2 linked regions of the Callithrix jacchus genome follow. The protein of the gene in region 1 purifies or fractionates together with the protein of each later gene. This does not show direct contact. Links are inferred from orthologs where the notes say so. Each region holds a gene or a part of one and is shown on either strand. Other genes may lie near its edges.

Evidence for each region.
Region 2: the proteins of LSM1 (region 1) and LSM6 purify together in Homo sapiens (co-immunoprecipitation; 3 studies listed by BioGRID and IntAct, counting the BioPlex papers as one, with this or other methods). This does not show direct contact. The link is inferred for Callithrix jacchus from reciprocal best matches to the Homo sapiens genes LSM1 and LSM6.

Annotation. Positions count from the first base shown.
Region 1 is NC_133514.1:38,988,094-38,990,880, forward strand, and holds the end of LSM1 (U6 snRNA-associated Sm-like protein LSm1), read right to left. Parts: intron 2,677-2,787; exon of another isoform or gene 2,572-2,676; intron 998-2,571; coding exon 827-997; 3' UTR 501-826; downstream 1-500. UniProt on the Homo sapiens protein: Plays a role in the degradation of histone mRNAs, the only eukaryotic mRNAs that are not polyadenylated. Probably also part of an LSm subunits-containing complex involved in the general process of mRNA degradation.
Region 2 is NC_133504.1:50,820,501-50,824,697, reverse strand, and holds the start of LSM6 (U6 snRNA-associated Sm-like protein LSm6), read left to right. Parts: upstream 1-1,397; 5' UTR 1,398-2,030; intron 2,031-4,197. UniProt on the Homo sapiens protein: Plays a role in pre-mRNA splicing as component of the U4/U6-U5 tri-snRNP complex that is involved in spliceosome assembly, and as component of the precatalytic spliceosome (spliceosome B complex).

The DNA of each region.
Region 1 (2,787 bases):
GCCATCACTATGGGCTTTCGGTCACTAAAATTCCATTTATGTTCCTTTTTGATAAGAACATAAGAGACTCAAGACTCAATTCAAAGGACTAGAAAACCTAATTAAATTAGCAGAAAATCTGAAGAACCAAGCACCTTAAGAACATGTTAGGTCTCATGGGGACTTAGTTTAGATCAGCCATGGGTGAAGCAGGAGCAAGAGCAACAGTTGATGTTGTTTCTCAAACATGAGTCTTCTGCAGTAGCCAGTAACTGGGAAACTCAGCTGAAAGCTCCCTCCTCAAGGCTGAAAATTTGTATTTCTTATCAGATACAAACATGAAAAGAGGAGAGGACCCTTGAGATGATCAGAATAAAAGTATTCCTTCCTAAGTAGCCAGTTACTTGAAACTGTGACTGAAGGGGGAAAATTCCAGTATGTGGATTCTAATACCTTTGAGAACAGAAACTTCATTTTTTCTATTCATTAGAGGCAACTCAAACTTGGAAATAACATGACACTTTTGAGATTCATATTTTATTTACAAGTAAATGAAGAATGTCCCTGTAAACTCTAATTCGGGACACAAAGAACAATATAAAGTAGTTGCTGGTGCCAGTGACATGTGAAGGAGTCTATGCCACTGTTTCTTGAAACAATGATTTTGCTATTTAAAAAAAAAAACCCACCTACATGATTTATTCATGTTTCATGTGTAAAAGAATGAAAAATAAGAGTGATTTTTCAAAACTCTACAGTCTCTGATCAACTGTGTGAGGTGGCCAGGATGTCACTTTCACTCAGTGACAGCCCCTACTCTTCAAGAGCAACAGCCTCTGGGCAAGACTTAGTACTCCTCCAGAGTATCTGCTCGAGGAATGGAAAGACCTCGGTCCTTCAGGGCCTGCACTTTCAGCTTCTCTGCCTCCAACTTGGTCTGCTGTTCCACCCTTTGCTCTTCTAGAATTTCTTCAATGGATACTTGCTGGAGGGGTGTGTCACTCTCCTTTTCCAAGTCCTACAAAAGAGACAGGTTTGAAAACTTCACCTGAAGACCAAGAATAGAAAACATTACCGATCTAAAGGCAGATGGATTCCTGTATCAGGCTCGAATTATTTTTCATAACTGTGACAGGACTGAAATATCCTTCTCCTAGGGACAGGTAAGTTTTTCAAAGAAGTGCCTGACAACACTACGATAAGATACATACTTACGATGAATGTGGTTACAGTGATCAGTATTTCTATAACAAAGCTTTATATGATCCAAAATCCCATATTAGGATTCATTTTCTATTAGTCAAGGATTAATCTCCTTAAAAAAAAAATTAGGGCTGCTTATAGACAGCTATCTCCCCGGCTGTAGAGAATCCAAGAGGGAGGTTATTGAGGCAGTGTGGCCTTAGAAAAATTTTTTAAAAAATTATTTTAAGGATGGGTGGGGTGGCTCATGCTTGTAATTCCAGCACTTTGGGAGACTGAGGTGGAAGGATCACTTGGGCCTAGGAGTTCGAGACCAGCCTGGGCAATACAGTGAGACCCCAACTCCATACACACACACAAAAAAGCAGATGTGGTGGTGTGCACCTACAGTTCCAGCTATTCAAGAGGCTGAGGTGGAAGGACTGCCTGAGCCTGGGAAGTTGGAGGTCAAGGCTGCAGTGAGCCATGAACATGTCACTGCACTCCAGCCTGGGCAACAGAGCAAGACTCTGTCTCAAAAATAAATAAATAAATAAAAAGGCAAAAATAAAAGGGATCCTCTTGCTTTCACCTCCCAAGTACTATAGGTATATGCCTGGAACTACAGGTATATGCCATCGCACCGGCTCTGTAGTCTCTAAACTATAACACAAGACTCTTTTTTTCCTTTATGGCAAGAAGTATTCTAGAGAAAACCTCAGCAGACCATTGAGGTTACTAAACCAATTTGGTCCCAATATTTTTCTCCACTATTAAAAAAATTGTTGCCTAATAAAAAATTCCTTTTCCTTATTTAAAAAGTACATGCTCATTGCAGATAATATAGAAAAGACAAATAGGAAAAATTAAAAAATCATCCATAATTCCAATACGGAGAATTAACATTTTTGGTTAATATCCCTACAATTTTTCTATGTATATACTGACTAAAAAAAACCCCAGCCAGGCGTGGTGGCTTACACTTGTAATCCCAACTACTCAGGAAGCTGAGGCAAGAGAATCACTTGAACCCAGGAGGCAGAGGTTGCAGTGTGCCAAGATCACACCACTGCACTCTAGCCTGGGCGACTGAGTAAGAATCTGTTTGAAGAGGAAAAAAAAAAAAAATTAGCTGGGCATGGTGATATGTACCTGTAATCCCAGCTACTCAGGAGGCTGAGGGGGGAGGATCACTTGAGGCCAGCAGTTTGAGGCTGCAGTGAGCCACGATCACACCACTGCAGTTAGCCTGGATAAGAGTGAGACTCTGTCTTAAAAACAACCCCCTCTCACCCAAAAACCCACAATGCAAATACTGACTGTAATTCATTTTCATTTACATGTGGCACAGTATGCTTAATATTTTTATTTTTGAATGCTTTATAAACATTTTTCATGTTATTTACTTTTAAAAATATGGAAGGCTTCATAAATTTGCATGTCATCCTTATGCAGGAGCCATGCTAATCTTCTCTGTGTTGTTCCAATTTTAGTATATGCTCTGCCAAAGCAAGCACAACATTTTTCATTTTATATATTTTTAATAGAGTCAGGGTTTCACCATGTTGACCGGGCTGGTCTCAAACACCTGACCTCAGGCAATCCACCCACCTCGGCCTCCCAAAG
Region 2 (4,197 bases), on another chromosome or scaffold:
TAATTCAGGATGCCCACCCCGTATGTCAAGCCGGCCCCATACCCAGCTACTCCCTTTGGAGAAGATTGCAGCTGCTCCTCAGATGAACGAGGCCTTTAAACTCCTCATGGCTCCCTACCCACCACACCAGTGTTAATCGCTCCATCAGGGGTCTGTAGGAAAGGGAAAGAAATTTGAATCAAAAACTTACTGTTTTTTGAATAATTGAAACAACCAGTAGGGAGTGTGCAATTTGATGTCTTTTGCAAAGAATGTTTTTAGGGACAGGGCTTTTTATCCTATCATGTTTGTTCTTTGCAACTAATTATTTAATTTTAATGGCACTTTTCTTAAAATTTTTATTTACATTATATTTTATATTGCAAGAACTTCAAATACAGCCCTCTTAATAAGTCTGTAACGGTTTTGTCTTTACCCAAACTGAGCTTTTGTAGAAGGATATAAGGAAGTCTCTATTCTTTACCAAATCACATCCAGTTGCTTTCTGTCCCTGATACCAAGGGTTCATTTCTTCTGCCTTTAGCCAAAAGAGGGATACAAGGGAGAAACTCTTTATCTTAGAAAAACATTCTGCATCTTAGATTTTATAACACTTAATGGAGTTAAGGATCTGTGTTGGAAGATCTTATCACTTTGTGTATAGTGTTACAAATCATAAATAAAATAAAGTATAAGTTTTCAGCTGATGAAAGTATGTGACAGGGAAAAAGGAACCAAGTCCTGGTGTGACTGTTCTCTTCTTTTTCCTCTCCAATCCTATTAATAGCAAGAGTATTGAGAATTCATGCAAAATTCCAAACCAAGTTCCCACAGGTAGCACTTAGCTAATGTCTGCACACCATTTTCAATTGGAACTAGTTTATAATGTAACACAATTAACGTCATTATAATTCGGAGTTACTTGAGTGGTTTTAATTATTTTCGTATCAATTAACATTGCCATGGAAACAGTCTCTTGCTAAAATGGCTTAAGTCTTCACACATTTAATCAATATCCAGAGGCAGATTTAAAGACTTGAGGTGTTTGTTTTATTTATTTGTTTGCTTTAAACTATTCAAGGACGTTTCTGGGTACACACGGCAGTTACTTAAAACTGTAAATTCCAGTTTTCTATGACTTCAAGTTATTTTTTACACTGCAAATAAATCCTGCCCAAAAGATCACTTCTAGCTTTCTGGATTTTTGTTTTTGTTTTGTATTGAATTGTATTTGTGTTGTATCCGGATTTCTGTTAGAGGAATTCCTTTGCACCAATTTCGCCACTGGACAAACCAACCAGGATTCTTGGATTTGAGCGCTTTGGCGCGGACCGGCCTTTTCGGCCCCAGCGGGCTGCCGTAGCAGAGAAGAACACTGATTGGCTGAGGCAGAAAAGTACCGCTGCCTCGCCGGTTTCGGTTTCGATTCGATGAAGTCCGCGGAGCCCGGGCTCTTGGGGCACCTGTAGTGAGGATTTTGGATCCCGCCGACGAGGTGAGCCGCGTGGCTGCGCGAGCCGAGCAGCCTCGGAAACGGCCTGCGGGGAGCGGGCTGGGGCTCCGGGGAGGGACTGCTGGGTGGTGGGTCCCCGCGAAATGCCGCTTCCAAGCTCTGTGTGCACGTAATGGCCGGGAGTGATCTGTTGGTGGGCGCCTGGAACCGCCGTCAGCGAGGCGTCTACACTGCGCCGAGAGGAGCGGCACCGTCCCGGCTGGCGTCGATTTGGCGTTCGAGACTGCACGAAGTTGTTCGGAGGTTATCGAAATTCCCCAAGGGAACCCCAGCGCTAATCCCAGGATTCGGCGGGAAAGCGGATCCCGAATCTAGGCCTAGGCTTTGCCTGGATTCTTCCAGGCTTCAGAGAATTGCGAAGCCTACCCTACATCGGAGTGGCTGCGCCTAACCACAGGAATTAAGGACTGGACTAACCTGAATTACCGAGTTGTCTAGTCGGGGAACCCCTTGTATGGTCTTAAGTCCTATCGCCAGAGGTTTTCTATGTGTCCGCGTTTGTGCCCCGGCGCGTGAATAGCGGGCATTTTTGTTTAAGGTGTGTAGGATTAGGATGATTGGAATTACCCCACCCTACTGCTCTTAGTAATACGTGACTGTTGTAGAAAAATTGCAAACATAGAAGACTTTAGTGAAGAAAATAATATTCGCTGAACCCTTTCACCTGCCATCTTTTTCTCCTGTATGTACCAGCGTCTACTTGGACTAGGACTGTTCATGTTTAATTACTTAACAGTGTAGTTTTCCAGTTCCATTTAAAAACTCTTCCTAAATATTATTCTAATTTTGTATCTTCTTTTGAGTGGCTGGCCCATCATTGTGGATCCCAGTGTAGGTCCCATAAATTATTCAGTCATTTCCCGACTGTGGGACATTTGGTTGTTTTTGAATTTTTGCATCATCTTAGCATCCCAGATCATATTTTGATAAACATTTCCCCCCCATCCTGTAGATTATTTCCTTGGACTAGATTCTCAGAAGTGAAATTATCAGATAGATGCTGTCATCCATAAGGTCTTTAGGCTTTCATGCACATTGCTGCAGTGTTTTCCAAAAAAGTTTTAGAGGTGGTTGGCAGTTTTACTTGCTTGAATATTGTGCAGAAATCTTGAGAGGCTTATGTCTGTAGTGTGTATCACTGGAGTTAACTGCAGTAGACTGCCTGAATGTTAGAGCAGGAAGAGACCTAAGTGGTCATCTAGCAAAGCCCCCTTATTTTGCAGATGAGGAACCTGGGGCCATGAGAGGTGAGATGAGTTATCCAAGTCACACAGCCAATTAAGTAGCAGAGCTGGGATTAGAACTGAGGTTTCCTGCCTCCCAAGTGAGTACTCTGTGCTGCATCAGGCAGCCTCTCACTGAACTGTGGCATAGTAGATATTAGAATTTAAAAATATGTTTACATCACTTGGATTATTCTCTTTTTTAAAAGTGTACTAACAGATTTTAATCATCAGAGGGATCTTTAGTACTGAAAAATTGTAAAGTGATCATTTTCATGGCCAAGGCTAGAAATCCGTTATTTAGAATGGCAACCCCTTCAAGGCTTTGACAGTTGTTTTCAGATTCTCTATATGTTAGAATAAAAAAAAAATCCCTGATAAATTATAATCTACACTCCATCATTTGGTTAGATGTAGGTGTTGGTTCTCATTTGCTATATTTGGGAGATTTCTTTAAAACTCCTCACTTTAAGGCCAAAGAACAATGTTGCTGGTTTTTAAATTTTTTTTATTTTAGGGCTTATAGCAGAGATTCTCAACTTCCATGGACTTTTTGGCCTGGACGCATTTGTTGTGGAGGGCCGTCCTGTGCATTGTAAAATGTTTAGCAGCATCCCTGGTCTGTACTCACTAGTATAGTAGTAGCACCACCTTCCTCAGTCATGAGAGTTCATGGTGTCCCCAGATATTTCCAGCTGTCCCTGAGCATGGTGGGGGAGGACAGGGGGGATTGCCCCTAGTTGAGAACCATTTGCTTATAGAAATTATCTGGAGAACTTTATAATGTAATGTATAGTGCCTTTGCCTCAGTAGATTCAGGAATTTGCATTTTAACAAGCATCTCTAGATTTGGATACAGCTGGTTCTTGAATGACAGAAACAGTTGTTTTCTCCGTCTTTGGTGCTCATTATAGAGATTACTTGATTAGTATTTGTTGAAGTACACACTTGATATTACTAGTCACTGTACCCATAGTTTGGGCTGGTGGGGGCTGGACAGGAATTTTGCTTGACACTGGCTTTGAATGTCACTTCCACAGACTTGGACAGTATGCTTAGATACCAGGGTTACCAAGTGAGTGAGATATTTTCCCTGTCCCCAAGAAGCTTAAAATTCACTGTGGGAGATCAGTCAGCAAATGGAAACATTACAAAACGGCCTGATAAGGGCCACGACTGAGAGTGGAAAGAGGTGCTTTCAGTGGACTAACTTCGCCTTTGGAAGAGAGGGAGAGAAGAGGCCCCAGCTGCTCGGGAAGGAGGGATTGTCTTCAAAAGACAGCCCGGCTCTCCACTGTGTCAGAGGGAGGAATTTAGAGAGCTGTCCTCGGTGTCTGATTGCCTCGTCAGACACTGCTATCTTAGTATCACGCTGCAATTACTTGGGTTCTAATGTTGTTTCCTTGCAATTTTTGCTTTTCAATTTTTTCCACGCTAAACTGTTAAGTACTCTAGAGTAGGTAAAAACTTACAGGTAAACAT